Nothobranchius furzeri: one gene and its partner. The protein of the gene in region 1 purifies or fractionates together with the protein of each later gene. This does not show direct contact. Links are inferred from orthologs where the notes say so. Each region holds a gene or a part of one and is shown on either strand. Other genes may lie near its edges. The genes, in order: pole and mms19.

Region 1 (16,336 bases):
GTAAATGAATGCAGCTGAGAAGATGATCACACCTGAAGGTGTTGGAGCAGAGAGCCGTCTCATCATAGCTAGCCAAAGAGCTGGCGCTTTGGTTTCCTGACATCATGTCCTCCAACGACGCTTGCTGGATCACGTCAAAGCTCACGCCCAGACTGGCCCCGCCCTCCATGTCGTTGACATGCTGCGACTGGAGGATGGTGTTCACCGCCAGGCTCTGCAGATCCAGCTCCACGCACACTGGAGATGACACATACCAACATATATTCACACAGCAAAAGGAGCTCCAGAAACTCCTGGTTCCTGAGGTTTCCTGGTAGTTGGAGTACCTGTGGAATAACATCCTTGTGCGTTGATCTCCACGGACACCTGATCGTCGTTTTCTACGACCAGGCGGCTGTCGTCGGCCTCTTTCCCACCGAGGTCGGGCCTGGCTGTGGGTGAAAGCCACAGCAGATGGTTGTGTTTCCGTAGATGTCTCGCCAGGAACAAGTCGGAGCCAAAGATGGACACGTCCTGGGGCAAATTACCCACTGGCAGGTGGTAATACCTGAAAGGAGGAGTTCCTGGTAGCCACGCAGTAATATTAATTCCACTGAGGAGAAGGTGAGCTGGGCTTACCTGGCCATTTCAAAAGCCTGAGACAGGCAGCTGTCCAGGTTGAGGTAATGGCGGATCATGCGCCGGGCCCCGTGGCGTTGCCAGTCCAGCACATTGTAGCTGATCTCATCCACCACGTGCACCGGAACCACCGGGAACTCCTCGAGCACCGGCACGGCTGCTGCTAGCCGCTGCAGCTCCCAGTTGGACTGGACGGCAATGAGAGTGGGCCCACGTCGCTCCTCCTGAACGCAGCAAAGAGATAAATCAACATGGAGGAAAACAAGGAGATTACCTACCTGTAGGACAGTGAAAACATAGATGGGTTATGGTTATTTTATTAGTAAAACAGAATAAAAACACCAGAATTTGTGTCTTTTACTTTGTAGTTCAGCAGGATGCGCTGCACAGCACGAGAGATCGCCTTGATGTCGTTTTCAGCTCGAACCTCGAAGGTGTGTTTCTCTGGAGGTAGAAGCTCCTCCGTTGTCTTCTCCAGGAGGGCGGTGCGCTCTGCTGTGTAGAGGTTACTCAGGTTGGGCATCTGGTTGCTTCGCACCTGAAAATCACAAAGTTGCAACAAAAGGATGACACTCCGAAGCTCGTTCAGAAATAATCCAACAGCCCTGCCACAAGAGTTATCTTGCTCCGAATTAGCTAAAACCTGACTGTTTTGGTCCCCGTTACCACGGAGACACACATACGTGGCCTCAGACCAGTAGTAGAAGCATTGGATGCGAGTTTAGAACACATTCAGAAGCAGGTGAAGACAAAAACTGTGCTTCTTTTACCGTGTCCAAGATGAAGATGCTCGCTTTGCGCTGAGAGGGGATGAACAGCCCAAACAGAGCCTTCTGACCCTGGTTGTGATGATACAAGTACATGTGACGAATGCTTCCTAAGGAAAAGGCAAGCATGTGTGTTAGGATGGAGAAAATGTAAAACCAAGGCAATTGTCTCTGACTAATTCAAGATGAGGTTTTCTGCAGATCTCACCGGGTTCCAGGTAGCTGAACTGAGCCAGAGATCTCATCTCCAGATGTTCCAGATCAAAGGAATCCGTCTCTCTGCCGGCCAAATCTCTGACGATGTGTTTGTTTACCATGCACACGCAGCCGAGCTGCACCAGGGCACGAAACAACAGGGGGACCTGGGAAACAGGTGATGGAGTGAGGTTAATGAAGCCGAACTGGAAACATGGAGGTGGTGGAGTTTAAGGTCACCTGTGTTTCATAGACGCCTTCGATGTCGGGAGCCGAGAGGTCGGCGTTGATCTCGTTGATGTGCTTCTGGTACATTTCCTCTGGCACAGAGTACTCGTACAGGAAGTACACCATGTTGGAGCGCGGCAGCATGCGGTTCACCTGAAGTCACCGTTTGGGAATTAAACACAGTTTTGGATGAACTGAACTCGGTTTTCTCAGCCCGTACCTTTTTGAACGCCACTCCCTCTTCTTGTTTTGGGACTTTCTGGTTGACGTAGAAGACCCGCGGGATGTTGAGCTTCATGCAGTGAAGGTCGTTTCCGATCACAGCCCACAGCTTGTACAGACCAGGGTGACTCGTTTCTGCAATCTGAGACGTATCACAGTCATTTCCTTGAATTTTGTCCAACGATCACATCCAACGTTTGGATGTCACCGCCACGGTGACTTTGCTCTACCTGCACAACCTGCCAAGGCATGTCCAGGATGCTGCGAGCAGTTCTGCGGAGGAAGCTCCCCAGGCCGGTGGCGGAGCCACCTCGGATCACACCTCCTCCAACAGGTTGAGACTCTCCATCCAACAGCTTCCTCCTCTTCTTCTTCTCCTTCCTCTGTCTCAGCTGCAGCTCCCACTTCTTCTTGTGATAACGAAGCCAAACAAGATGCTCCTCCTGCACAAAAAGACACAGGTTGTTAAAATTAAACATCAAAATAAAACCTGAGATTAACAAAATCCCTGTGGGATTAAAATCTGCTGGAAATGCACCCGTGTTGTTCCCTTTGATGGAGGCGGTCCCAGGATTTCTCTCCATGACTGCGTGAGCTCAACGTCCTGAGACTCCACCTGACTGTCACTCCCCTGAGACGCCCGCTTACGCTTGGTGCTGATGGGAACGGCGGGCTGCGGGGGTCTAGCCGGCCTCCCAAAGTCCTCCATATCTGCTGTATGACCTGCCTCGAGAGGCTGGTGGGTCACCTGGGAGATGTAGAAACAGCAACACATGGGAGCTCTGCTCAGCGCTCACGATGCTGACTGATCAGCTGACCCTACCTGCTTCTTGCCCTCGCTGGTGAACAGCTCACTGATTTTTTTCTGCTTGTAGATGTCGTTTTTCTCCAGGAGCTTCTTGTGAAGCCAGTCAGGATGTCTGACTCTTGGAACTGGATTCTTCACCTGATGGTAAAAAGAAAAATTCAAACGAATCTATACATAAACTTGAGTTGCATTCAGAAAGTGGTCGATTTTTAAAAAAATGAGCTTTAACCTGTTGCAGAGCTGCAGGGATGGTGATGATCTTTTGGATCGCACTGCCCAACCTCTCGATGTAATAGCTCCAATCGAGGATCTGGAGTCACCCGGAGACAAGAATGTGTAAAAAAAAAATTGAATATATATATATATATATATGATGAGGTTTTATCTTTAACTGGAAAAAACATTATGACTCACCGTGCGGATGTCCAAGTCGTGCAGGCTGGGCATCTTCAACCACTTCCTGAGGAAATGCTTCTTGACGCTGGGCTCTGCCTGGAAGATGGCCAGAGGAATGGCCCTGATTGGGGAAATATGTAGATGTGATGGTGTCAGACCCAAAGCTTTTACTTCTGGTGGTAATGCAAAGAGACTATTCTCCAGAGAGACCCAAAGGAAAACAGCATAAATATATCAGATCAATCAAGAAATCTGCTTGAGCCCTCTGGCTTGACTTGTTCATCACAAAAGGTTTTCGTTAGAAATTTGATTCCTTCCGTGTTAAATGATAAAAATCCACCTTTCTGTTACGGGGGAACCCTCTGGTTTTCGGGAGATGACGTAGCGGCAGCTCAGACCAGCGTCTTTCACCATCTGGTCTCCCAGGAACTCTGCCAGCCTCTTGGCCGTGCTGATGGATGTAGACTTTTGCTCTCCATAGTCTTCCAGCTTCCTGGACATCGACCGATTCTCTGAAATCAAGTCAAACAGCTCTGCATCGGGCATGTTGGCAGCCTAAAAAACAAGCACAAAAAACATGACAAAAACAAAAACAGACTGAATCTTTTTTTGATTGAAGTGGGCACACTGGTTTTTAACACATCTGCGGTGGTCTCTAGTATATACAAATGGCTTGTGGGCCGATCTCTGGGGAGAAACTCCTGTTTCAGAAACTTAATCGAAGGAAAAATTCATTCACCTTGCTGTACAGCACATCCAGCCAGTAGTCGGCTACTTTGGCCACAGACGCGTACACTTCCTCCAGGGTGGTCCCTTTGAGGAAAGCCTCAAACACAGATGATTGGAAGATCTTGATGAGCTGGAGCTCCCCTCGTCTCTTCACTTCAAAACCTTTGAGCTCAGCCAGAGAGCCGTCCTCGTTAAACACGGCGTACCTGAAAAACAACACGGGGCGTCCTTAAAAGTGCCCTTTCAGCTTAAATATTTCATCACTTGTGTGGCAAACCTTTTCTTGAGCTTCTTCCCTTCCTCTTTGGAGGCAGGCAGGATCATGGCCAGGTACGGTCCGTCCACCTCGAAGAAGATGCTGTTCTCCGACCTGATGTTGTACACGAGAGACGCTGGCTCCACCAGCTCGTGGTACTGGTCGTTGGTGAACCCCTCCTTCACCATGATGTTCAGCATGGCCCCCGGGTAGGAAACGGTCACCTTGGGCTTCTTCTCGTTGCTGGTTTTCACCACAAAGTTCTCTGGGAAGGTGTTGGGGAGGACGCACCAGATACCGTCGGTGTCCAGCTCCAGAGGCCTCCTGAGTCAAAATTAGAAAGTGTGAGAAGAATTATTAGTTTTTTTCCCCTAAACTGCTAAATTACTTAAGATAGAAGCCTTTCTTAATGCCAAAATAAACCTTTGAGGTTACAGAATCACAATAAATTCAGATCTTTGAACGGGAGAAACGAGCGACGCCACTCACCCGATTTGCTCGATGAGTTCTCTGGCCTGAGTGATAATGTTGGCTCCAGTGTAGCACACAATGCCAGCCATCTCCATGGAGTACCAGCGAGCCCTGAGAGATAGACGAAGACAGCATCAGCCCCGCAGCGGCGAGAGAGGACGCGTGACGAAGCGACTCGTACCCTTTTCTCATGACGTAGCCGTAGAAAGAGTTCAGAATACACTTGTGAGCCAGCTGAAGGGAGTCGTACAGGATCTCCATGTTTTTGCAGCGCTTCACCTCGGCAGCATCTCCACATTCCTGTGCCACTGACAGCTTCTTCTTCCACACCTTCAACAGCAAACACGCACCAGAAGTGAACAAACAATGATTATGAAAGCAAAAGACTTTTTAAAATTATTTTTGGAAAACCAAAGCCTACTTTGTGAAGTCCTTTGAATTCGTAACGCCGATCCCTGAAGGCTCTGACCGTGTCAACATAGAAGGAGTTTTCTCGCTGACAGATGGTGGTGACGCGCTCCTCCAGCCTGGTGACGTGGATCTTCTTGTAGGCCTTCTTACAATAATCTAAAAAAAAACAAAGAAAACTGCAATTTACACATCTTAAAACCAAGATCTGCTTTAAGGGAACCCAAACAAAGACGGTACCCGCAAGACGCTTCTTCTCGTGTTTGGCCTGCTCCTCCCGGTTGAGTGTGTGGAAGGCCCTGGGGGCCCCGTTGGGGAACAGCGGGGGGAACTTCTCAGACTCCAGCTGCTGCTGGATGCGGTGAAACTCGCTGCGACTTGCAGGCACTGAAAACAAATAGATGTTTTTTTTTTATTTTATAAACCAACCCAAACCTGTTTTAGTGCAGAGTAACCAGCTCACTGATTTCTCCTCTCCACTGCCAGGTCATCCTCCTCTGGCAGGAGGCGCCGGGCTTGTTGAAGTCACAGGCAGCACACGTGGCCTCATCAACCATCGCCGACGGCTACAAACGATGAAGACGTTAAACCTGCTGCTGTTGAAAGAGTCTTGCGTCTGATTTGTGATTCTTTTAGTTTTTTTTACCTGCAGGCGGTTGGTGAGGATGATGTTGGGGTACATCGCCCCGACGTCCAGATGGTAGATGAGGGGGCACTCGATCCTATTGGGAACCTCCTTCAAGGAAGTCAGCTTCTTTTTGATTTCATCACACACCTGACAAAGCATCACAGTTACTCCATGATGGAAGTGTTGAGCTAAAAAGGGGGAGGGCGACAAGTTCACACACCTCATTAAAGTTAGTAACTTGCTCCAGAGAGACTTTCTCCTCCTCCTCGATGGCGTGACGCATTGTTTGCTCGACTCTTTGAAGCAGGAAGTCGAAGGCGGCTGGGTTCTGTCAAAGCATCAACCCAAAACGGTCAAGCTTCAAGCTCCTAAAGGTGATTTAGTAGAATTATCAGAGAAAAAAAAAGAGGATGTACCATTTTAAAACGACAGGGGATGTCGCTGCGAAACACTCCCGACTCCAGCGCCTCCACGTGGCCTCCCACGTAGGTCTCAGAGTCCATGACGTGTCCGTCGTCCGTCAGCTTGTTGAAGACTTGCTCCTGCTTGTTGGGGAACACGATGTTGACGTGGAAGGCCTGCACCATCAGCAAGGCCTCACACAGAGTCCCAGACCCTTTACGCAGCACCTGTTCACACAAGAGCAGCGAGAGACCATTTAGTTTACGGCTCTTTATCAGCAGATACGTCTTCTTTTACTACAAAAATCTGAGACGAACCTCATCAGGCTCCATGGGGATGATGGTACACAGCGCAAAGATGAAGGGGTGAACATATTTCATGTACAGGTAATACGTGGCCACGGCGTCAGACACAGAGTAGGTGGCTAAAGTCTGTGGGAAAAGAAAAACAAATGTATTTTTAACTGACTAATCTTTTCTTTTATAGGATTTAAAACTCAAATCTTGTTTCTGGACCTGTGGCTCCTCCGTTGCCATGCGACACATCTCCTCAGGGTCCAGCTCCACCGGGTCGTAGCCCAGTTTAGCCTTGGCTGCTGCCTTGAGATTGTGACTTCCCACAGGTAAGTAGCTGTCTCTCTTTACCCACCTGGTAAAAGTTGGAATGAACGCGTGAGAAAACAATTCCCATTAAAATAATCAGCACACCTTGTCAGTAGGTGGGAGTCAGAATCATCCCCACCTCAGGCAGTCCATGTGGATGGCTTGGCTGGACTTGTACTCCCCCTGGCTGTCCTTCTGGAAACCGATTTCCCTGTGCATGCTCAGGCCGTGGTGGGCAGCTCGGGTCTCGACAAAAGGCCTGAAGAGGACCAAAAACACCCTCACAAAATAGAAGTTTCTAATAAACTGCTATTTTTAAAATTAATCCTGGATATTTTATAAAGTTTTTCCCCATTAACAAAGAATAAACGTGATTTAAAAACTGGGCTGTGAGTTTTTAATTACAATCAGCTCACCAGTCAAAGAAGTCTCCGTTGTAGGTTACAAATATGTTTGGTTTGGTCTCCTGAACGTGATCAAACCACCTCTGAATGAGACCAGCCTGCAACCAGAAACACTTTAATGCAAAAGCACTTCATACGGTAATAATCAGCTGAATCTGCACAGGTCTAGACCTCATCGGCCTCATTAAAAACAGTGAAAGGCCCTTCGTATTCCGGTTTGGGAGTGAACTCAAAATCCTCAATGTTCTCAGAGACAATCTCTCTGTTTGTGATCAGGAACCCCTGAAGAAATAAAACACGAGTTGGCAAACTGACGCAAACACGATGAGGTAAAGGATAACTTTGCGAACGGCTCTGTGTTAAACCCACCTGTCCGTCTATCATGTAGGAAATCATCATGATCTGATCCGTCTCTGCGTCTGGGAACTTCAGAGGAAGTTTGGTTGTCTCGATGTCAAAAGCCAAAACAACCGGGTCCTAAATATCCAAAAAAAAAAATTTCAATAATACAAGACTTAATGTAATCAGTGAGAATAAATAATGTGTTTTCAAGACAAAAAACAAAATATACGTACCGGGCGCTCCACAAGATCCTCTCTGCGTACGATCTCTGGCGGGAATGCGCTGCCACGGTAACGAACGTTGTACCAGTGAGCCTGAATGAGGCAGAGATAGCACAGATTATTACAACATTTATGTAAATAATAATCCAAGGTTTTATTATAAAGTGTCCTCACCACATGAATCTTCAGGTCGATGGAGAGTCGGACGTGGTAGGGCACATCGTACTCTCTCATGTCCACTATGTTCTCCAGCTGATCCACAATACTTTTCGACATCCCATCATCATAAGCTGAGGTGACGTTGCCACCTGACAGAGCGCTAAAACAACAAAATCCAGAGAACACTAGGAACGTGATGCTTTCAGGAACCCAGCAGACACAACAGATCATTCCTACCTTGATAACATTGAGGTGTAGGAGTCGTTGGACTGCTCCCTCTCTCGGTTCTTCCTTACAGCCGGAGCGATCTCACGCTTCACTTTGATGAGATCATCAACGGTGTTGAACGACAGTTTGATGTAGTTTCTCTTCAGGCCCACTAGATGGTTTGGCTGCAGAAATTGAGAAGTAGATTTTTAGTGCGTTGTCAACAATGGATCCTCTGACTGCAAACTAAAACTGACCAGATCCAAGTCCTCTTTTGGAAGCATCTCGAGTTTTGCCACCTTTCCTTGGAACTTCTTGGATAAGTATGAAATGACTTCCCTTTCACAGTTCTGAAAAGAATAATTAAGTTCTATAGGAATCTGATAAAACGACTCAAAACCTGAATCAAAATCAGACTTACCTTTCTAGTAGCAATGTAAAAATAAGGCTTGAAAGGAAGTGCCACCTACAAGGAGTAAAGATCAGGAAGAGCATGTCAGGGCAGAATAAACATCAATCATTAATATGTCATCCAGCATGAGGCTTTTTAAATAAACCAACCTTGAATCTGCTTCCATCCTCTTGGATGAAGTAGTAGTCTACAGCACTGATCATCCTCCTGTCCTCATCTAGGATCTCCGTCTACAAACGCGAACAAACGCGTTAAATGTCTCCTGAGACAGAAACCTGGTAGACTTCAGAGTGTGGACTCACAGGGTGCATGTTGATCAGCCAGCCTGTTTTCTCCCCGGGCTCCTTCATCCTCTCGAAGCCGAAACGAGCGTCCATGTCGTCAGTGAACTGGCTGCGCTCGAGCCGCTTGACGGCCGACGAGCCATCATCCCTGGTTCAGACAAGCAGCTACATTAGCTCTTCGTCTCATTTTGGAACACGCTGAAGTACTTCCACAGACACAATTACATCTAATAAACAGAAATTACAAGCGAACTTACTGGTTATCCACATCTGCTCCACTTTGTCCACGGTCCGCCCTGTACCGTCCGCTGTTTTGCAAAACCATCCTCTGATTCAGTTTTTCAGCTGCAACACCGTCATATATGTTTAAACAACCATTTGCTTCGCCGTAGGCGTCTAAATTATATATTAATATTAGTATTTTAAAGCGTTGGTCGTTCTCTGACAGCGTAGCCGACCGGATTTGTGTTTTCTGGATTTCGCGCGTTCCTGCAACTGCCGCGAGACCAGAGCAGAGCCGGAAGAACAAAGATCGTTTGTGAACAAAGATAAACACCCGCGCACTCTGATACGATCGCCGCACAACAACAAAATTAACAAAATACGTTTTAGTTAGGTTAACTTTCCAGCATAGCTACGAATTGATCTACTTGTAAGGTTAAATTGTGTGTTTTATCAGTAAATTTCAACACTGAAAAGGTCAAAGTTGCACTCCTCATCATGTAAACACAAACACACAAACTCTGGCAGTGTGCAAAAAACCATTAACTTTGTTTCCATTTATTGTAACCCACGTGTCTTTTATGGAACTCAAAAGTATTCAAAATTCAATATACAAATAAGACATTATGTATTAAAAATCTACATGAAGAAATACTAGACGATCATGTAATCTGACAATGAAATGAAATAACGGATTATGTAAAATCTAAGCTCAATATTATGAAATATTTTTCATTCTTTTACCATTCTGTTATTTCATCATTTTATTGTCAGATTACATGATTGTCTAGTATTTCTTCATGCAGATATTATTTATGTATTGAATTTTGAATACTTTTGAGTTCCATATACTAACTTCATGTAGCATTCATCACTTCCGTTTTTCTTCAGCTTGAAACTACACATTTAGAGGGTTGGTATTTTTTTTTTTTTTTTTACATATTTGATCTTTGATGGTTTCTGGGAGGAGCTTGAGAGGCTCCTCCCTCTTACGTGAACGTGTTTACTATCGCACTCGAGAGGAGAGGGTGCTGGTAGCGGTGAAAGAATAACACCGTCTGGTCTGGTGGTAGGTACTTTTGAAATTTGCTGCCTTGGAAATATATGAAACGGTTTATCGGCCACCATCGCAGCGTTTAGTTGCATGAGGAAATGCGTTTTCAATCCGACAAACACAGAGCCTTATGTGAACATATGTGACAGTTATTCCCTTGACTTGTGAAAACAGCGACCATATGGTCTTATTTTTGGAACGATGACTGTAAAGTGATCCGAATTTAGAGTTTAACAGACCTCACTGGAACCATTTACACCCATTCATCTGACAACTTGACCTTTAAATGGCCTTGTTTTCAAATTAGGATCAGAAAATATAAGGAAAAAGAAAAATTGGAAGGAAAAACACCTTCCTGCTAAATTTACAGATAAGGGACCAGATTGTGAATATGTAAATATGGGTCAGCATGTTGTTGATGAAAATCGATTGTCTGCCATGTTTTTGTACATTTAGCTGTTGGTTGATGTCAGCATGGAGCTGAAAAGTAGTTTTATTTATTTTTTTGTGTGAAGTCAACAGTAAATGTGTCAGATACTGTTAATTGCATTCTTTTTTTAAACAATATGGCACAAAATAGAATAAAAAGTTGCACTCTGATGAAGACATTTCCTCTTAAGACGTGCTTCTTATTGAATGCCACTTACACAGGAAACACATTATAATTAATATTTCAATTAGAAATGTAGTAGAAAAGGCAAACTTTCACCATTGATTTCACAATAATTAGTTTATTATTTATCATCTTTATTTGGATAAATTCAGACTTTAGTGGGTGGTGTTTTTGCCCTTCTTTTAGTTTAAACTACCTTCTCTCCCATCGTTGACCTTTAGCCCACATTGAGTAGCCACACTTAGCTCTGATGTCAGCTGTTTCAAGCAGCCTGTTTACTGGATCCTGCCTGGGAAATAACTCCTGTTGTGTTCTGCTGGCTCACAGAGTAGCATAACTTTGCAGATTAAAACTAATACCATGCAAGTTATTAGTTTTTGGACCATTATGACAATGATGACTTTCTTTGTTACCCCTAATGCTCACGTCTCCCGAAACCTTCTGACCTCTGATCACTGTAGCAAAAGCTTTTCAAGATTACAATGGCAAACAGACATGAATAACACTGATTTTAGGTTTCTTAGTTCACTGAATTCAAGGACAAGGCCATAGCAGCGGTAAAAATAAGTTTTGCATGTCTTTTTTTATGAATGTTGTGCTGTCTTTTATGGTTTAAAAGGGACATATTATACTAAACTCATCTTTTGAATCTTTTTGTGCTCCCATGTGGATCTCTACTGCCTCTATAAGCACTCAAAACATGAAAAATACCTGTCCATTGCTTTTCTCAGTGTTTGGTTTCAAGCATCATGTGCCTAAAGCAAGCCATTTCAAAAAGTTCCCATTTGTGATGTCACAAACGGAGAAAGTAGAACCACCTCTCACATGCAAGAGAGATCTACTGCCTAGCTCCTCCTGGATATCGAAGCTTCTCAGCTCATAGCAGACTGAGTGGAGAGGGGTGGGCGTAGCCAGCTCCCGCTTGTTTTCTTAAAGTGACAGCACCCTGAAATGGCACATTTTGGCAGGTACTGAAACTGTCAGGAACAAAACTGCTGAAATTGCTTTATGTGAGAGGGATTTTGTACAAAGAACTTCATAAACATGTTTTGTATCGACCATAGAACTATTATAACACAAGAATTAAAGTTTAGATTTTTACTTTAATCAATAAGCCAATCGGTCAATCCTTTTAAGAATGTTCATTTTGGGCGAGAACTTTCACGTGCTGCATGAATAACTGTGTCCACGTGTTTTTGTTGCAGTCTCAGGACGATGTCTGCAGATGCTCCAGTTTGCAGTGTTGGGATTAATCCTGTGGATGTTAACACTCCTGTGGAGAATTAATACCAAGACAGCAATGCCTGTGAAAGGAGAGGAATCCTTCTCTGGCTGCAGTCCCCAGGCGGCTGAGGAGAACAAGTCCACTTCAAAGACCCATCCTCGTGCAGACAAACATTCCCTGTCAACAGCTGCTGTAAAATCATATCTCAATGAAAACAACAATCTCCTGGCCAACATTAAGTCTGATCCTTCGCAGGCCTCCTCTAAGGTACATTCAAGGCAGCCATTGCGGCCACAGTCCACCCAGAAACCCATCAGAACCACTACACCCATGCTCAGCTCAGAACCCGAGGCGAGGAAGCGCCTCAAGTTTATCCTCGGAGCATCAGAGGATAACTCCTCAGACGAGGAAGTGCTGGTAACAAAACCTCCAAGCGGTTCCTCTCAGCCTCCGGTTTCTGGCTCTAAACCCTCCAGTGAGCTGGAGTTCTCTGGGGTGTCACCATCCAGCTCCTCAGTCATCAAGTAAGACTTTGTTTCTATTTCAGTCAATTTAATTTCCATCCTCTGGGGACAGGCCTGTTTTATTTTGCTCTGTCATGTGCCTTCATGTTGGCTAAAGGCCCTTGCAGCTTGTGGTAAGGTGCTGCCGCTCCTCTCCTGTTCAGACCATGTGTTATCGTGTCACCTGACAGCTCTGAGTTGTGCTATTGTCGCCTGCCAGAAATCTTGGCTCTAATATTGGAACAAGAGCTTTAAGCTGTCACTCTGAAACTGGTGTTGACCCAACTGACTCAGGTCACATCACAGTAAACAGACGGGATAAGATTTTGTTTTTTATTTGTAGAAGTTGTGTACTATGCACTGGATGGAAGATCTTTTATACGACGGAGGATCAGAGGAGATGGCTGCTTATGGCTGTGTGCTCTGTTGGACATTTTTACTCAATGTTTTTAGCTAATCGTGTTAGCAGAGCTTGTGGGAATCATCATGAGGGAGACAAAGGTAGGAAATGTCTCATCTCTAGAGATCAGTGTCACTCTGGCTTGTGTACTCTGTCCTCACTGGATGTTATTTCCTCCTTTTGAACTTTCTCCGTCCACTTCTACTGCCCGCTCCTGTCTGACCCCTTAACTGCTCAAAGTCTAATTGCTTGCACATTCTAAGGAAAACCAATTCTGTGTCATCTAATCTCCGTTTAATCTGGCAGTGAATCCTGATTTCCATTCCAACCAATAGCTGGATTTCAACAGAGTTGCATTTGTGCGCGGTGCAGGGTGAAACACTGGCCTTTTATTAAAGAGTGCCCCGGTGAGCTGTTCCTCCTGGGAACAGCTCCTCCTCCTCCTCCTCCTCTTTGTGCATCAAGGTTATTTAAAATGTTTTGACTCCATCCTACTTAACTAATCTCCACATTCACACCAGTAAGAACCCTTATCTACCACATCAATAGATCTGCAGAGGTCCACATTAAGGAAAAAGGAGATCTGGCTTTTGCAAAGGCTGCCTTAAATTGATTTTACTGGACTGAGATCTGGAGATTGTGGAGGTCGCTGAAGCCCAGTGAACCCCTCGACATGTTCAAGAAACCAGTTAGACGTGATCTGACCTTTATGAGATGCTGCTAGCCTATAGCCATTCTATATATGTAAATATATAGTCTAGCCACGAGCAATTGAAACGACTTGGTGCTTGGGCAGAATCTACGGTTGTCTTTCAAACAGTCTCAGCACGCAAATGGATAGTGCTAGGATCAATCGACGCGATAAACAATGTGAGGTGTTCATCTTGACAGCAATCAGTCAACTGGGCAGTCCACCACAGTGAAAGAAAAAGATGAAGAAGCCAATGCATCATTTTTTGAAATAAACAACTTAAGTATCTCTATCTGCTATTGTGTCAAAGAAAGGTCTGAGTCGAAATCGGCTAAAGTCTATTCTAAAGCCTATTCAGACCAACGCTGTTCCTGAGCTGATGCCATCTTTGTAGTCTTTCTCTTTTTTTTTTTTTTTTTTACCGTGTCCTGTCTGGCTGTGAAGCAAGCAGAATTGATGTCTGAATGCTGGTGACAAGCCTTACAGATTTATTCTCAGGTGGAGCATCAAAGCGTTTGCTTTTAATGTCACGCCTGATACTTAAAACTTTATTGTTATTGTTGCTGAATGCTTTGTAATTCCGACCAGACACGGAGACAGAGGTGAAAGAGAAAGGAAAAGAAAAGGTGGGGAGAGAGAGAGAGAGAGAGGGGGGGGGGGGTCCACAAAAATAAACAATAATGAACAAGAGTCTGCTTCTAGACCTGCAGAAAAAAAGACAAAAAAAAAACAAAGGGACACAAAAAAGGGACACAACAACAATACAACAAGATCTACCTCTCACTGCGTCAACTTGATGAAAAGAAAAAAATATATATATAATCAACATTGCTTAACTGAAGAATCACGATAATAAATCACAACATATTAAGGGCCCACCATAGTCTTAAGACCTGTGTTTAACATGCCCAAGCCCATACTTTTGAGAGCACCATGTGAGCACCTGTGTGTACACGCGCTTGTTTATTTAAGGTTTTTCTATAGGAGCGCCCAACAGAGAGTGTGAGGGACCACAGATCTGCCCCCCAAAGATGCGCAGGAGACGGGGGAGCTCCAAGTCCCAGAGATCCAGGCGCTGCCCCAGAACGCAGGAACCCCAAGGAGACTGCAACCAGGAAGGCCCCCGCCCCCCTCGAGAGTCTTTCTTTGATGCAGCTCTAGTGTTAAGCCCGCCCAACAAATGTAGAGCGCTGTGATTGGTAAGAGACAACACTGTTTGGGCCAATGGCAGACCAGCAGAGGTTACAATAGAGCGTGGCTAGAGCGACCTGCGGAGCAAATTTTTTTTTTTTCTACTGCTACAGTTGGTCTTGATTTCTAGGCTAATATTGTGCATGGTCCTGCTGGAAATAGCCATCAGAAGATGGCCATCCTATATATGACCACAGAGGACACACACCTCTGTGGTCACACATGACACATGTGACATAAACGGGTCATGGGCATGGTCAGCAACAATACTTAGACTGGCACACCTTAGGGGTACAAAATGGGCCAAGAATGTCTCCCCAAACCATTACATCAGAGACAGCTTGGAGTATTGGACAGGATGGATCCATGCTTTCATGTTGTTGACACCAAATTCTGTCCCGACCATCTGAATGTGGCAGCTGAGATCCAGACTCATTAGACCAGGGTTTTTCCAGTCTCCTGAGTGACGTGTAGCCTCAGTTTCCTGTTTCCCGCTGACAGGTGTGCTCTTCTGCTGCTGTGGTCCAGCTATTCAAAGTTCAACATGTTGTGGTTCAGTGATGCTTTTCTGCAGAACTTGGAAGAAACCAGTGGTTACTTGAGAAGCCACTCACTGGATATCTCACACACCAAGCCTAGACGTTGTAGGTAAAAATACAGTAGATCTCATATTCAGTCAATTAAATTCCCTTTATTTCCTATTCTAGTCCTCAATTTAAACCTCAGAACATTAGATATAAAATACAGAGTTTATGTTCTGATAGAAAGCTTATTAACATTAGTAAAAGTGTTTATAACTGCTGGAGGAATTGGCTTTTATTATGTGTTTGTTGAATTCGGTTTCCTAAACAGGAAAAGAGAAACATTTGAGCTTGTTTTACTTTCTCTCCCTGCAGCCTTTTGATTCAGGATTCTTTTCTGTGAATTGTGATGACTTCCCCATAGTTATGTTTAATCATGGAGGCAGAAAAGCACCAAAGCGAGCTGCAGCGACATCTGTACTGTTGTTTTTCACAGAAAAGAGCCAACAGTCTGTAGATGTGTTGCTGCCCCTGCAGCAGGAGGGGGGAAGGGAGGAGGCTGAAGAGGAAGCATGTGTGCAGACCTCTTTGTTATGGTTTTTAGCACACATAGACTAAAAAAACTAAACACATATTTAGCGCTAAAGTAACAGACCTCAAAATGGAGCGAAATAACTTGTTCCCTTATCTGCAGAGGTGAGTCCTCGTGCGCAGCTTTCACAGCGCTTTGTAATCTGACACCGAGAACTTTAGTGTTCGGAAAATAAAAGCTGCAAGTTTGAACTACCAGACCGAAAAATAACAGAACCTCTGCTGGAGACGCTGAAGTTGTTAGCGGAAAGTCGGTGTTGTGGCAGCGACTTGGAGGTCGTTTAGCGCCGGTTTGCTTTCAGGAAACGGGAAAAATTTCCCGCAAAGTTTTACTTTTAGCGGAAACATGTAAACAAATGCGTAAATAATGAGTTTTAGTAAAGTGACTGTCATAATGGTCTGCACCGGTTCTTCCTTTTTAAAGCTGTAAATAATAATAATAATAATAATAATAATAATAATCGGGTAATAATAATAATAATAATACGTACATATATTTACCTATTATTATTATAAGTGGCTAATATATCAACTTAGCGATATTAGCCTATTATTATTATTATTAT
Region 2 (16,236 bases), on another chromosome or scaffold:
AGGTATGTACTGCCCCCTATCGCCAGGTAAACTACACATTGTCACTTTAAGGGAGAGCCCAGACACTCTGTGGAGGAAACTCATTTCAACTATTTGTATCTGCAGTCTCATTCTTTCTCTCGTGAGTGACCATAGGTGAGAGTAGGAACTTATATCATCCGGTCAATTGAGAGCTTTGTCTTCCGGCTAAGCTCTCTCTTAGGTACAACGCCCGCATCACTACAGATGCAGCACCAATCCACCTATCAGTCTCACGCTCCATCTTGTGAACAAGACCCTGAGATACTTAAATTCCTCCACTTGGGGCATGACCTCTACCCCGACCCGCAGAAGGCATTCCACTCTGACTCAAGACCATGGTCTCAGATTTAGAAGAACTGATTCTCATCTCAGCTTCTTCACACTCGGCTGCAGCTAGAATTCCTGTCCATAAAAGTTATCAGAATCAGAAGGGCTTTATATCCATATGTGCGAGAATCACAACATTAGGAAATTGCTGTGGTACTCGGTGCAAAAAAAAAAAAAAAAAGAAAGATAAAAGACGCCCTGAGAGACGCGGTCAGACTACTTCTCCAAATCCACAAAACACACATAGATTGGTTGGACGAACTCCCACACACCCTCCAGGACCCCCTAAGGGTATAGAGCTGGTCCGGCGTTCCACAGCCACGACAAAAACCACATTGTTGTTCCTGAATCCGAGGTTCAACTATCTGATGGTTATATGATGTTTAGGGTTAGTTTTATTCCAGATGGAACGGGACGCACCTTCCAGAAAGCTCTTTTTTGTTTCATCAGTCTAAGGAATACTTTCCCAAATATCATCCAGATGTTAGTTTTTTTAAATAAATGTGAGACGGGTCATTGAGTTATATGTATATATATATATTTTAATAAATGGTTTTGGTGTGTTACTGGGATGTGTTTGGTGATCTGTAATGTGTATGTGAGACAAAAAAGCATAAACATATGAAATCTGTTAGGAGGCACAAACTTTTGCACAGCGTTTCTAAATGATGATATTAACCAGTCGCTTTCAAATGTCTGACTGGTTTGTGTTCCTAATCTTTAGTCATTAACACGATCTCTAGCATGTACACTTTTGCTAGCAGTACACAACAATAGGCTGTACTTTTCTAAATCTAGCTCGCTGACTGAAACTACATTACTTGGCCTTATGCTCCGTTATCAGCTCAGCTGAATTAATGTTTTGTTTCTGTTCCTGTTGTAGTGGAAGCCTGACGAGTTCTCAGCCTCACACTCGCGCGCGAGGAGTCCAGCTACTCTCAGACGTTTTACAGGAGAACTATGCAGATCTCACAGAGAGAGAAGGTACCCCTCTTATGACGTCGTCCTCTCGCTCACATAAAGCACACTGCTGGTAATTAGGAATATTAGGAATGGGAGAATAGAAGGAAAGATTGATCACTTTTCTCACCCCCTCAGTGGAGGTGCTGATTGCCTTCTATGAAAACCGTCTGAAGGACCATCACGTCGTCACGCCGCCTGTTTTACGGGGACTTCAGGCATTGGTAAGTCCATCTGAAGTAGATTTGCAGTAGCCAAAGACCTGCCTGGCTTTAATCAATTCATTTAGATCAGAAGGAGTTGCAGAATTTTTGGTCTGTTAAGTGTGTGTTTTTGTTTGTCCCAGACAAAATGCACAGCACTGCCTCCTGGCTCTGCCGTCTCGATGCTCAGGTCTGTGTTTCAGGACGTTCATGTTCAGGTGAGGCTCACACACTGTTGCACAACAGTATCAGCATTTATGTAATGTTTCACACAAGCTTCCCAGTTTGGGTGTTGTTAAATTTCACCTCACTCTTTAAGGTGACCTCAGGTACCAGCGTAACTCCTGACCATAATGCTGTTCCTTCTTACTAAATGTGTTGTTAGGTCATTTTAAGTGTTGCCATTGTTGCTGCGAGCTCACCTCAGTTTGTCTCCCACCTGCAGTCGTTGATGCTCACAGAGAGAGGCTGCGTCTACAACATGCTCATCAACCTCATGGAGACGAGAGAAGCAGGTAAGAAAAGGGAGAGCTGGATCACCTATGAGGAAATGCTGAAAGCATGTTTTCTGTAACGTAAGGGAGTTTAGAATTATCGGCAGGGTTTGCAACAATAGAAGTTTGAGTGTGTGTACTTCTAAAAGCGTTGCGTTTGGAGTAAAGCTATGAAACAATCAGAGGGGGGAGCTGAAGCCATTTTCAAACAGTTAGGTTCTGATGTTGCTTAGACCTCACTATCTAAGTGCTTCATTGTGCTTATAGTTTATATAATAGAAGGTATGTCAGGATGCTTGGTGGTGCAGTTGGTTGCTCTGCAGTGCAGGTTCAAATCCCAGCTGCAGCCTTTCTGCAGGGAGTTGGCGTGTTCCCTCTGTGCAGGTGTGGGTTTTCTCCGGGTGCTCTGGTTTCCTCCCACAGACCAAAAACATCTAGGCTGGGTTGATGGAAGACTCTGAACTGTCCCTAGATGAGACACAGAGTTTTTCTCTGTGTTTCTCTGTAAAGGAGACCCTGTCCAGGGTGTCCCTCACCTCTCACTCCATGGAGTTAGACACCAGCACCCTGTGACCCTACGGAGCAATAAAAAGTTCTCATGATTAGTGTTGTGCATCAAGCATCGGTTGGAGCTGGGACTAGCTGTCAGTTTTTCCCAGATTCATTCAGTTTTTAACATTTTGATTCCTAGTTTTGATTTGCAGACTAGACTAGAAGAAGAATCTGTGGCGAAAAAAAAAAACATGTTCTGCAAATTCTGCTCAACACCTTTCAGAGCTGATCACACCAGCGGTCCTACTCTGCAGCCCACAGAGACCCTGAGAGCAGCATCGTGTCCCTCCTCCCTGTAAACAACAGTCTGCTGAACTTTTACTGCGTGATGTAAACTTTAATTCCTCAGAAAAAAGTACGGCGCAGTGGAAGCTCGTTAAAACGCATCGGTACAGTCAATTTAATACAAGTTTTAAAGAACAAACCGGGCGGTGTGAGGTGAGTTTGTCTCACTGCAGAAATAAAAACACACGGAGCGTCAGCAGTCAAACGCAGCCGCTCACCAACACTCGTCCGTGTGAGCGTGAGCGTCAGAAGGCTGAACAATAAGCTGTAAAATAATTAGTCATCATGCTAGAGCAGCTTTCCCTGTGGTGGACCACACCCGGTTCTGGCCAATAGAAGCCGGTAGGGATAATAAATAAATAAAGATAATAATAAAAATATCTCACAAAATGCAAAGTTGTGAGATTTTTTTCTTTTTTGAACTATTTAGTCTTTGGAGAGTTTTGTTGTTTACATCTGTTAGATTAGTTTGGACAGCAGCTACGTTTAAGTTCCAGTTTCCCTTCTGACTGAATGCTGCTGCAGCAGGCTGGTGTGAACTCGGTCACCCTGGACATGATCATCCTGAGAGGTTTAGGTGAAAGCAGCTGGAACTTTCTGGTTATGTTGGAGACATTTAGCCTGAGGCGTCTTCAGTTCCCAGACTTTGGTTGTGGTCAGAAACAAACACACGGATTGTGTTTCAAGTCTTTTTGTTTCTTTCTTGAAAACATGCTTTTGCCTAAATGAAGGTGATGTTGTTGTTCATAGAATTAAAATTCATGTCGAAATTCAGATTATTTCATCAAGTAAACCCTGTGGTTAGCTGGCTCATTTAAAACATGTAGTTTTTTGGATCCTACCACTTGAAAGAATCAGAATCGGAAATCTTTAGGAACCAGAATTGAAACAAGGAATTAGAATCGGAATTGTTCAAATTCAAACGTTGCCCAACCGTAATCATGAATGGATGTAGAGACAGGCCTACGAATGTAAATAAGGTTTATGTCAGTGGTGTCCAAAGTGGGACACACAGGCTATTTGTAGCCCTCATGGGGATTTTGAACAGTCCTGGGTGGTTCTGATAAATAATCCACACTTGTGTAGCTCCTTTCAGAGTCAGAGGACTCCAGAGCTCTTTACTCTACAGTGTATCACAGAGAATTCAGCTGATGGAGAAAATAGCTTCAGACGACAAGATTTAGACTCTTATTTCCTGATATTTGTCATCTCACATCTGATTGGATAACAGCAACACATCTCTACCACTGACTCTGCTCTACAATGGTAATGTTTCATCTCCACAAATAGCACAAGCCTGGAGGAGTTCTGCTGTCTGGTGGAGTTCCTAATGCTAATAGTTAGCTTCTACTAGCCAAAACGTTCTCAGCTGTTTCCTGGGAGCTAAACCCACAAGTTATATGTGATGTTTTTTGTTGTATTATTTGTGTTTTATAAAACAAAAATATTTCTGTAACAAAATTTTGTAACATAAATTGACTGAAGTCTCTGGAGCTCATGCAGCAATATTTTATAAACATTTAAGCTTCTGTGAATTTCTGCAGGAATATGAATAGATTTCTGCATTTGGTTATAGTTAAACTTTAAATAACAATATTTTACAGCACTAATGTAATGATTGATGGCGGCGTTAACACGAGAAACACGCTTTAGTCTTGGCTGCAATTAGACTAGCTGTTAGCCCATCAGTCTTGTCAGATTTGAACTGTTTCTCTGAACAGAGGCTGTTCAGTAAGCTGTCCACAATGGGACATTATATGTCCTTTTTAAAAAGCTTAATCAAAGTGGCTTTTTTCTGCTTGACGTTCCATCAGAGCTGAAAGGTTTGGGAGCCGACTTTGTTTTTGGATTTGTCCAGTCAATGGACGGAGAGAGGGATCCCCGCAACCTCCTGTTAGCCTTCCAGATAGCCAACAACATCATTCTGGGAGGATACAGTCTAGGTGAGGATCTTCTCACCGCACCATCCTCTGTTCCTCTTTTATTGTCACTGTTTCACCTTTTTACTTTCCCAATCAGGTAAATTCACAGAGGAGCTGTTCGAAGTGACGTCCTGCTACTTCCCCATAGACTTCACCCCTGTAAGTTCCTGTTCACTCAGCTGGTTGAGCTCATCACAGTTTGTTGCTGTCAGGCAAGACACTTAACCCCCCTTGCCTGCTGGTGGTGGTCGGAGGGACCGGTGGCGCCAGTGTATGGCAGCCTCGTCTGTCAATGCGCCCCAGGGTAGCTGTGGCTACATCGTAGCTCATCCCCACCAGGGTGTGAATGTGTGTGTGAATGGATGAATGACTGATTGCGTTGTAAAGCACCTTCAATCAATCTATTTATAGAGCGCCCTCCACTGCCTCTGCGGAAGCCCAAGGCACTGACCATGACATAGATTAAAATAAAAACAGATTGATAAAAAGTCCTAAAAACCACATACAAACATAAAAGCATGATGGAACACACACACACATATATATGTTAATATATGTATATATACTCTATGCCACATAGAGGATTTCACCTCGATAACGATAAATGGACGATAACTACAGGTATGCGCAGAAACAAAAGTTGTCCACTAGATGGAGCTGTGGCGTGTTTTAGTTGAGTCACATTTTTACATGACTCAAGGTGGTGCAGCGTCTTAAAGGTACATTAACGCTGCCAACCTACATACATCTTTTAATTTCTTATTATCAAATTTATTGACATGGGAACAATTATCTCGATAAGAGTCAGAAATTTAGATAACGATACATTTTTTATTTATTGCCCAGCCCTATTATATATACATCAGAGAAGGATAAGAAAAATAAAAACAAGTCACATAAAAGCCAAACGATAAACATGAGCCTTCACGTGACTCCTGGCCTGTATTTGACTCTTGAAGACAACAGGTGAGGGTGACTGTTTGATGCCAAGTGGCAACTCATTCCAGAGGGATGGAGCCAAGACCGAGAAAGCCCGATCTCATCTAGATCTGTACCGGGATTGAGGAACAGTCAGTAGCTCCAGCTCAGCCGAGCGTAGAGATCGTGAAGGGGTGTGACGTGTTAATAATGCTGCAAAGTATGGTGGAGCACCACCATATAGAGACCAGAAGACAAAGCAAAGGACGTTCAATAGACCACAGGAAGCCAGTGTAACAATGCCAGCACAGGAGTAATGTGCTGAATTTCCTCGTCCCTGTCGGCAAACGTAGGGGGTTCCAGGACTCTAGAAGGTGCTATATCAAATACAGGCCATTTACCATCACTGATGTTGGCAGAACAGACCGACTCTGGAGCAAAAAACTAAACCGTTTAGCGTAGGGATGGACAATATATCGGCATCAATGTCGGTATCGGCCGATTTTAGTCATTTTTTAACATATCTGTATCGGTTTGATAAATAAAACCGGGCCGATATTAACGACCAATATTTTTTCCATCTTGTCTTCATTTGTTTGCCTGTTTCAGAGGGTGAGGGGGTGATGTGTCTATGTTTAGTCATGTGAACAGTGAATGAAATCATCTCAGAACCATAAATGTGTGTGGTGTGTGTACATAATAATGTAAATTTGGCTTTAATAATTTTCGTTTTATACAAAATTACTGATTTTAGAAGCATTAATGTCAGTATTTCTGCATCTGCAAATATCGGTTATTGGCCATAGCAGTGATCTTAATATTGGATATCGGTATCGGCCCAAAAATGTTCATATCTGTGCATCACTAGTTTAGAGTCAAAGAGCCTCACACACACGCGATTGCTCTCAGGATTCTTTACTGTTGGAGGACACAGGACTGATGGGAGCACTCATCTTTTTTTCTTCAGGGGCTCCAAACAATCAGAAAATTATCCGTCATTTAAAGAGACTTGCATTCCAGTCTCTGAAGCTTTAGCAGAGCACGAGCCAAAACAAATCCTACACACTAGTTTCAGATATTCAGTAGATTCGTAATAAGTGAATCATTTTGGTTCATCTGATTGTATTTGACATTTTATCACCACTTGTTTAAGCTTTTCTTGGGTTTAATTTCCTGTAAATTATCTTGTTTTTTTCCTCTCTCTTCTTGTGACCACCTCTCACCCTCTCCAGCCCCCCAACGACCCCCATGGCATCACCAAAGAGGAGCTAATTCTGGCTCTGAGGACCGTCCTCACAGGGACTCCCAGCTTTGCAGAGGTGGGGCGGTATCGTGACATGACGATTATTCATTATGGTACAATTTCAGGATCTAAAAATGTTCTTGTCCATTTCCAGTTTCTGTTGCCACTCATCATTGAGAAGATGGACTCGGACATTCAGAGTGCAAAGCTGGATTCACTGCAGACTCTTGTGAGACTGACTACAGCCGCAGCTTAGAGAAGAATAAGCTAAAGTAAGATGAAATGTGACTTTTATGATGATTTGTCATCTCTTTATATTTGATCTGTTTCAGGCTGCTTGCGGGTCAAAATATGATCACAGAGACTTGGCTGAATTCCTCCAGGGACTGTGGACGTCACTGCGCAGAGAGGTCTGTAGTGTTTTACAAAGTTTGAGCCGTTTTAGTTTAACCCTGGCTTTCCAATGGATGCATAACCATTTTAGCCATGAGCACCTTTCCTACTGGGAGTGTTTCAGGTGCAAACAGCAGCAAAAGAGCTCCACACAAATGGTCCGCAAAGTCACTGAAGGACCGGAAATTGCAAAACCACACATTAGATTTCAGATAGATGGCAGCATGTATCCGAAAAGGTCTGTGGTTTATTTCCTGTTTGCCTCAGCTTTGGAGGTGTTACAGGTAATGACGTACTTTTACTAGTTGATCAACTGAAAATCTGCAAGTGACTTTTATTTTGAAAGTTTCTGGATGTTTTACCCTGCTTTTGTTCAACTTCCTGTCTGACCCGATCTGAACTGCTGAGCTTGACATGTTCTGGAAGCGTAGTGTATAAAAAAAATTGAAGTATTCACAGCATTTCTGGGACGCTTTGCGGCCGGTGGAAACACCCATCCACTATAACAGCGGCTAATTGCTTCGTACTACACTTCGCTGACGTTGCGTGACGCTTACACGTCTGGTGGAAAGGCCCGGTGAACAACCCTTTTTTTCCACCCATTCAATGCTGCAAAAACTATAATTTAACCTCTCACATATTTATTTTTTTTCCCTTTTTGTCCCACATAAAAGTTTCAGATCAGCAAACACATTTCAGTGTCAAAGACAACCTGAGTAAACACAAAATTGAGTTTTAGATGATTTTTCACGCTGCCATCCAACCAGACGGGGGCTGGGCAATAAATTCAATATTTATCATTATCAAAATTTCGACTTTTATCATGATCGTTTTTTCCACAATAATAATGATAATAAAAAATGAAAAAGGTGTGTGTAGGTTGGCAATGTCCCTTTAAGATGCTGTACCACCTTGAGTCATGTAAAAATGTGACTCAACATAATGCACGTGACGATATATGGTGATGTTGATTTTAGGCCAAATTGCCCAGCCCTAAACCAGACTGTGCCATAAATAGTAAGTAAGTACATTTTTTTTATATATAGCACTCATCACAGACATAGAAACACAAAGTGTGCTTCACATAAAACAAAGTCATAAAATCATAATGATCTCAAAACAGAAATAGATTGACATCAGAAAACATAAAATTATAAAATTTCATAAACAGAAACAAAAGCCCCATTCCCACCTGTACCGGGTCGGCCCGGGCCGGGTAGCATAGGTTGTTTACATATCTGGGTGGCCTGGAATTTTCCCGGGCCAACCAAGGCTCATTCTCGGCCCTCTTCCCGAGGGGTACTGCTTCAGGCCGACCAGGGCCAACACGCCCACTGCTGACAGCAAATTCACACCTTCCATTAGAGCAAGCCTCTGATTGGTGGGTAGAATCAGCCCACATGGGCTTAAGGCAAGGATGTGTGGAATCAACCGGGCCAGGCTGGGGCCGACTGGGGCTACCCGGCCCGGGCCGACCCGGTACAGGTGGGAATGGGGCTAAATAGAGACGTTACTGTGAAACCCAGCCTCTTCACTGGTGTGTGTGCTCTCAGTACAGCCCCGTCTCCGTTTCCTGCCTGCAGGTGTTTCAGACATCCAGTGAGAAGATCGAGTCAGCAGCCCTCACCGCTCTCACCGCACTCACTTCCTGTCTGTCTCGCTCAGTGGTGAACTCTGATTCTGAAGACACCCTCATCACCCTCCTGGATCTGGTTCTAACAGGTGAACCAGTTCTTTAAAACGAAGGCTCCTTTTACAGGCAGGGTTTCATTAAAACCGTCTAATTAACAGCAGTGCAAACATCTTTGTGACATTTTCCCAGACTGTAAACATCATCTGTGCGAGCCCGACCTGAAGCTGGTATGGCCCAGTGCCAAGCTGCTACAGGCTGCCTGCAGCGCCTCCAACAGGGCGAGCCACATCATAACAGCTGCTGTCATGCCCTCTCTCATCGAGCAGTACAACAGCAGAACACAGGTCAGACCGAGAATCCGTAGTCATGTGTAGAGCTTTGCTGTTGTCATGGTTACTGAGTCATAAGCTTCTCTTAACAGTGTTCTCATAGACGTACGTTGTTGGAAGTGGTGCAACGATTCATCAAGTCAGTGAAAACAAACACGTCTTCAGATACCGGTGAGTTCATCATTCCTCTGATTTAAAGTTGAAACCGAGTTTATTTCATTCAAATAACAAACACTGATAAGACTCTTGAATTTTCACAAAGTAATCACTAGATTTACTCTTTCAGCACCTCGTGATTCACTTTGATTATAGGTCAGAGGATTGCAGTGTGATTATTATTCAGGCATATTTCCACCCCTCCCACCTTTTTATTGTCAAATCGATGTATTTGTACAGACCCAAAAAGAGTGCATCTCCAATAGAGCTGTAATTGTGGAGAAAGATCTGAGCAATAATGTTGATCAAGTAACTGAAGAGTTACTGCTCGCTCCCATAAAGGAGGATCAGTTTTGGATGCACTAGTCAACCCTGCTGCAACAACGAGCTAACACTAAGTGAGCCACAAAGTAAAAGATCCACCCTGTTGGACAAAAAATATTATGATTTACAAGTCCATTAGCAACAAAGCCAGGTCACCATCAGTCCGTGATGTCGTAGCCTCCTTTAGCTCCCTCAGACTAGCGTAGGCTGCACCAAAGTTCACTCTGGTTTTAGCTCTTTGCTTCAGCTCCAAAGACATTTTTGCTCTCTTACTTTTACTTTCAGGGTCCTCCATGATGCCAACAGTAAACTGTTATTGCCATAACGGCAGATAGAGACCTCCCACTAGTGTTCCAGCCTGACCCATTAAACGGGTTCTGCTGGTTCTGGTCAGCAGAAGGCTGTCTGATGTGATGTGGCTGAAGTTTGTGGCTAAAGTACCACTGCAACCAGTTTGAAAGCAATGGTTTAGCGTGTTAAAAACCTTTTAGTGTTAAAATGAACAAAATCTGTTCTTATATTTAAATCAGTTCAGAAACATGGACATCTTCCAGGGATTGATGGGACTTAAATCGCATGATCAGGCTCAGCCATCTCACACCAGTGGCATGGATGTAATTTTCACTTTAGAGGTGGGGGGACACGGGGGAGTGTATCTACAGTATGCTCTAATGGGAAACAGGCTTCAACACAAACGGTTGTTTTCCGCTTGGTCCTAGAGCTCAACCAGTGTCAATTTAATATAATATATATATATATAATATTTTTGGATGGTAAAAAGTGCAGGGGTCAAAACTTGACTTTGGAAAAAGTGGGGGGGGGGGGGGGGCCCATCTCCCCCCCCCCCCCCCCCCCCCCCCAGATTACGTCCATGGCTAGTGGTCTGTATAAAGATGCACATAACTTGTACCCATCTCTGGTGTTTGTAGATGAGAGTGTGCTGTCAGCGTACAGAGCTGCTCTTTGCAGCATGGTGTTTTCTGCTCTCTCCGAGAGTAATTCCAGTCTGCAGATCACTGCTACCACCGTTCTCACCTCACTGATACAACATAAAGGTAGGACCCTTTCATATCTGACTATCTGGGCTGATCAGGAGTCTGAAATGTTTCCTTCCTGTTGCTCAGGCCTGCTGTTAGACTCAGATGTTGGTCTGGCTGTAGATCACCTGACCAGACTGTTGCTGACCGAGGAGGACGAGAGTGTCAGGTCAACTCCCGTTGGGCAAATTTTAATGCCTTGGTGTTTTTTTTTGTTTACTTGATCCTGTTTTGGTTATGTTTCTACTTCCAGTTCTGCTGTTGTTGAGTGTGCTGGAGCTTTAGCAGAGCTGCATCCTGCAGCCCTCATCACTAAACTGATCCCAAAGCTGAAGGAGGAGATGTTTTCTGGTGAGCAATGTCAAGAAATCGGAAAAAATAAATTAGAAATTTTCTTACATTTTCTGTTGATTATAATACACTTTTTCATCTCCTTTGTTCAAGATCCCAGAGAAAATTCAGAGATGAATTCCCATCATGCAATGCGCCAACGTTGTTTGTCTGCTCTGGCTGCCGTGTCCCTCCAACCCAGTGTGGTCTTTGAGAGTACACCTGTCCTCCTGCAGGTCCTCAGTTCAGCACACACAGGTAATCTGTCTGTAGGCGTTTTCTATCCTCTAATGCAGGGGTCCCCAATCCCGGTCGTGGAGGGCCGGTATCCAGCAGGTTTTGTGGTTTTTCTGCTCCAACAGACTTGATTCAGTGGTTGAAACACCTGTTCAGCAGCTCATCAGGCTCTGCAGAAGCCTGTTAATTAGCTGCTGATTGAAATCAGGTGTGTTGAAACAGAGTTCAAACTAAAACATGCAGGATACCGGCCCTCCAGGACCAGGATTGGGGACCCCTGCTCTAATGGATCTGTATTTATGTTTACCAGACTGGTGTTTTTAACACACAACATTTTCTCAGCGTGTCTCTGAAAAACCAAAAAAACCATCTGATAATCAGGATCATGTTGTTGCTTTCAGATGGGGCTCGTTTCTCTGTGGACGAGGTGGTTCTGGCGTGCCGCAGCCTTCAGAGGATAGCCGAGCAGGTTCAGGACACTGAGGAGACGGGGCGATGTTTCCATGATAACATCATCCCACGCCTACTGTCTTTAGCTCTCCAGGCTGCGCTGCAGAGTAAATAAACTTTAAATTCTTCCTAAAGACATTTAAAGTCCACCAATATTATTATTATCTTTTATAAAACTGCAAACGCCAAGATCCCTGTTTTTACTTGTCATCTTTTTAAATATGATCTGTCATTCTGAGTTTAACATGCAAGCTAAACGGGAAAATAGTCTTGTAGCTTTTTTCCCCCTGGAGTAGCTGCCAATAGAAAATGGACAGAGAGACACTCAGATTAGAAAAGCCAGTTGATTACACGTCATAATGGCAAATTAGCATTCATGGACTCATCCATTTTGGCTCCTGACGGGGAAGGCTGTTGTTGGTTTAGCACCCTGGAGAAAGTAGAGCATGTCTTGGCTAGTAGAAGCTAACCATTAGCATTAGCAACTCCACCTCATGGCAGAACTCCTTCAGGCATGTGTTATTTGTGGAGGTAAAACGTCAACATTTCAAAGCAAACAGAGTCAGTGGCAGAGTTGCATTGCTGCTGGCCAATCAGAGGTGAGATGTCCAAGTTTCAGGAAATGAGACTAAATCCTGTTTGAAGCTCAGCTTTGACGTGGTTCACTCCTAGTTCCTGAAACAGGCGCACCAGAGCTTTTTTCCCCACAGAGATTGACCCACAGAAGTAATGAGTATAGAAATATAGAAAAATGAGTGAACTTGGTCTTTAAAGTAGGAGATCATCATGTAAAATGAACACGCTGTACTTTGTAGATGAGGGGTCGTCTGGTCATCGAAGTCCCCTGACCGAGGAGGTGTTTCTGTCTGCGCTGGTTCCTGTCATCAGCACTTCCTGCTCCCGGCTGCAGCCCAAGTCAGTACAAACTCCATCAGAGGGGTGGTCGATGTGTCAGACACGCTTAATAACATCAGATGTTGCTCCTCATGTCATTTTCTGAATGACACAACTATTAAGCATACATTTACCTGTTATTTCAGCTGTCTATGTCTATTGTTTTAGCTTGTAATGGATCACAGATCCCTCCACCTCCCAACCAAGCTTCACCCTCCCACCTGGAAAATTCTCTAGCTGATTTTCCTTTTTTAAAATGGTTTGACATTAATGGTGAAAAGGGTCTTTATTTGAACTAATCTGAGTTATTTGAACAGACATATCCGGCCGTAGAAGCTTTAATCTGTTGTGTTTCTCATTTGCCGATCATAATCACTGATATAATTTCTCTGCTCTAGTTTTGTCAGTGCCTTTGATTTGTTTGTGCAGTCTGCTTTAGAAAGTGAAGTCCCATGTGGTTTCCTGTCGGGTGGTTTCATGTCTCCAGGTTGGCAGGACAGACGGCGGCGAGGGCGGTGTCTCTCTTCCTGGATGGCGACGTCTCCTTTCTGCCTGATAATTCCTTCCCCTCACACATTCAGCTTCTCACGGTGTGTTTCCGTGTGTTGTTTTTTTTTTCTCCATTATTACAAAGGTGTATGGTTAAGGAGGTGTTGATGTTTTTCCCCAGAAGCAGCAGGAAGAGTCATGGAGTCGGTCTCAGCTGGTTTGTCTGCTCATGGCATGTGTGTGTTCCTTACCTCGCAGTGTGAGTCTCAGTCCTGATGTTAGTTCAGATAACTCTGAGTTGGGGTTTGAAGTTTGCTGTTCTGAAATGGACGCGTTACGTTCAGGTGGAGGTGCCCCAAATGGAGAGGTTGCTGTTCCAGCTGGAGGAGCTGAGCTGCAGCTGCAGCCACCTGCTGTCCTACACATCTGCTGCCAAGTGCTTCGCAGGCCTGATCAACAAGAGGCCTCTGGGTGTGTCTGTGTGTTCATGGTCCGGTCACATTTTCTGCACCTGTAGCACACCTCTTTAAGTTAAAGGTTGTGATGTCTGATCTGCAGGTAACTCCCTAGACGACCTGATTCAGACAACAATGAAACGAGTGTGTAGTGAGTTGGGCTGCACCTCCTCTCCTGTGCGCATTCAGGCCTTCACCCTCATGACCTGGGTAATAATCACCTTTATTTCTCATTTTTAACTTCTAGTTCTTCAAGCCTTTACAACTATTTGCCCATTTATTTACTTTGAATCCAGGGAAATTGTTTTATCACAGAGTCTAGTGAGTAACTGCACTCCTGTTCACATCCATTCTAGTTTTTACAGCTGGTTCCAGTTTTTGTTCAGTTCTGAATTATAATTGTTAGAAAGTTGGTTATGAAAATGAACTTGGTCCGGAAAAACAACGTTTCCTCTGGATTTGTGAAGAAGGCTTCATGGAGACGAGGAAAGTCCAGTAGCTCCTGGACCTGTAAAGTTTATCCAGCTGCAGGGTTGGACAACCACCTTGTTGTTGTGTAGCGTTGTGGTTTTATGCTCTTTTATGAAAGAGGAACCATGCTACGTATTAATTCGGAATATTAATTTTAATAAATCAATAACCAAATTTTATATTGTTCAGAAGACTCAAAGGTTGTTTTCATCCATAAACTGCCGATAATATCTGAGTGTCTGTGTTTCAGTTCAATGAGGAAACCAGTTTGACGTTTAAAAGTTTTAATTCTTCAAATTAAACTAATGATTTTGAAATTGACAAACAGGAAATACAATCAACATTAGTAACTTTGTGGGACAATCTCTTTAACAGTTGATATGCTGTTCTGGCTCAAATAGACCTTCTGATGAATTTATGAAGATTGAGAATGTTGTGATGGTGAGAGTGATATGAGCTGGGATGGGTGCGTGAGTGCATCTGATTTTGCTTCAGGAAGAACCAGGTGTCTGAGTGAAAAGTGATGGTTTGAATAAACTTAGGCTCTTAGTTGGAAAAGATGCATCAAAACGCTAAACACCGTGTTCTGTCTCACCGAATTCTTTTGGACCCTCTTTCGGATCCGGGGCGTCACCTTAGGATGTTTCATCCAGGGCACCTTGGCTGGCAGAAAAGACAAAGATGCGCTGCGACCCGGTCCAGAGTTGCCCTCGGTACACGTTGATGGTAAAGCGTTTTGTCGACGCGCTTTCTTAAGTTAATTCACTCAGAAATCAAAAGACTCGGTAATGAGTCTGCGTTAGAAGTTGCGATTCAGCTATTCTGCCTGGCGTGGCAGAAACAGCGTGAAAGGGGGGAAGAACGAGCCAACAGGCTCTGCCCCCCCTTTGGTTTTCAGGTCTGTTCTCTCTCGTTGTCCAACACCAACTGACTCAAAAAAGACTGAAACTTACCAAAAACCTCTCTTCTCAAAGCAAAAACATGTGCGTCATCAAATGTGTCTGGATTTTACTGTGGGAAGGTGTGTGTGGATGTTTGTGTGCTTGAGTGTGAAGGTCAGTACCAAACATTCAACATTATCTACTTAAGTGTGGATTCATTAATCCATTATAATTACCCCAAAGCATAAGAACCATTCATTTGATTAAATACATTTATAATGAGCAAAATGATAATGGTTATTTTTAACATTAAAATCAAGAAAAAGAAGTTTAAACTTTATGTTTTGACTTGGTCTGGGTACAACTCATGTAAACACATCTTCTGGTAGACTGCAGGTGGTTGATGTTATGGTTTCCTCCCAGACTCACTGGCGTTCAGGTCTTAATCTGTGGGTGAAAGTTCTCAGCGACCCAGCTTTGACACAGCTGAGTCCAACACCACCTTTGTGATAGAAAACCCATATTTCCTCACGTTACAGTTGTAAGACTTGTTCAGGAATGTCAGCGGGCAGGTGTGAGTTCGTCTGCAGCCCAATGAAGAGACCTTAAGCCGGGCGTACGCTGTGTGACTTTTTTACTTTTTTGAGCCGATTCTCCACTCGTGCAGGAATCCACAAGATCGGGGCGAGTTTTGCGCTGAGCGTCGTGTCGTGTACAGGGGGTTACGAGAGGCGATTAACACACGTGACCAGCTACCGATCAGCAATCGTGAGCTCGCACGGACTTCTGGAGTGTTTGATATTTTGCTCGTTCCTCCTGAGGGTTGAAGCAGCGCAGCGAGCGGCTGCGACCCAAAAAGTACCAGAACCGCTCACGGCGCATGCGCAATCCTGCATCAACACCGCTCGCCCGCTATTTCCCTAATAAACACGTTGTTTGTTTTTATTTCTAAACGTCTTTTTTACACACATTGACAAAGATTGTCAAGAAAGCGTGTTTGTCGTGTTCATGTCAAATTAAACTGATCACAAAACACAGATTTACTTTCTTTATTTCGTTTTCCTCATCCAACCCCCATAAATCCCTGTGTGTCCTCCTGCAGCACTCCCAAAGGACAACAGGCAAAACAAGACAAAACAGTCTGATGTGTTGTGTAAAAACTGCTATTTTTAGCATATTTTTAGGTCCGACGTGTTGCTACCAGACGTAACAGTGTGAGCAGTCAGGTCGCA

The links.
Region 2: the proteins of pole (region 1) and mms19 purify together in Homo sapiens (affinity purification with western blotting; 3 studies listed by BioGRID and IntAct, with this or other methods). This does not show direct contact. The link is inferred for Nothobranchius furzeri from reciprocal best matches to the Homo sapiens genes POLE and MMS19.

Annotation. Positions count from the first base shown.
Region 1 is NC_091757.1:45,288,331-45,304,666, forward strand, and holds the start of pole (DNA polymerase epsilon catalytic subunit A), read right to left. Parts: upstream 9,259-16,336; 5' UTR 9,085-9,258; coding exon 9,017-9,084; intron 8,908-9,016; coding exon 8,778-8,907; intron 8,706-8,777; coding exon 8,625-8,705; intron 8,530-8,624; coding exon 8,485-8,529; intron 8,414-8,484; coding exon 8,321-8,413; intron 8,249-8,320; coding exon 8,094-8,248; intron 8,017-8,093; coding exon 7,872-8,016; intron 7,791-7,871; coding exon 7,710-7,790; intron 7,612-7,709; coding exon 7,504-7,611; intron 7,417-7,503; coding exon 7,306-7,416; intron 7,233-7,305; coding exon 7,147-7,232; intron 6,990-7,146; coding exon 6,870-6,989; intron 6,777-6,869; coding exon 6,644-6,776; intron 6,560-6,643; coding exon 6,446-6,559; intron 6,356-6,445; coding exon 6,143-6,355; intron 6,055-6,142; coding exon 5,947-6,054; intron 5,874-5,946; coding exon 5,745-5,873; intron 5,665-5,744; coding exon 5,562-5,664; intron 5,486-5,561; coding exon 5,339-5,485; intron 5,258-5,338; and 38 more. Other genes in the region: acacb (acetyl-CoA carboxylase), read left to right, coding at 11,874-12,397. UniProt on the Homo sapiens protein: Catalytic component of the DNA polymerase epsilon complex. Participates in chromosomal DNA replication.
Region 2 is NC_091756.1:28,161,943-28,178,178, reverse strand, and holds part of mms19 (MMS19 nucleotide excision repair protein homolog), read left to right. Parts: intron 1-1,231; coding exon 1,232-1,332; intron 1,333-1,446; coding exon 1,447-1,532; intron 1,533-1,654; coding exon 1,655-1,729; intron 1,730-1,956; coding exon 1,957-2,026; intron 2,027-4,656; coding exon 4,657-4,785; intron 4,786-4,861; coding exon 4,862-4,923; intron 4,924-6,914; coding exon 6,915-7,001; intron 7,002-7,079; coding exon 7,080-7,154; intron 7,155-7,257; coding exon 7,258-7,335; intron 7,336-8,901; coding exon 8,902-9,040; intron 9,041-9,140; coding exon 9,141-9,295; intron 9,296-9,372; coding exon 9,373-9,451; intron 9,452-10,689; coding exon 10,690-10,815; intron 10,816-10,884; coding exon 10,885-10,966; intron 10,967-11,050; coding exon 11,051-11,148; intron 11,149-11,241; coding exon 11,242-11,385; intron 11,386-11,765; coding exon 11,766-11,921; intron 11,922-12,629; coding exon 12,630-12,729; intron 12,730-13,195; coding exon 13,196-13,298; intron 13,299-13,378; coding exon 13,379-13,456; and 5 more. UniProt on the Homo sapiens protein: Key component of the cytosolic iron-sulfur protein assembly (CIA) complex, a multiprotein complex that mediates the incorporation of iron-sulfur cluster into apoproteins specifically involved in DNA metabolism and genomic integrity.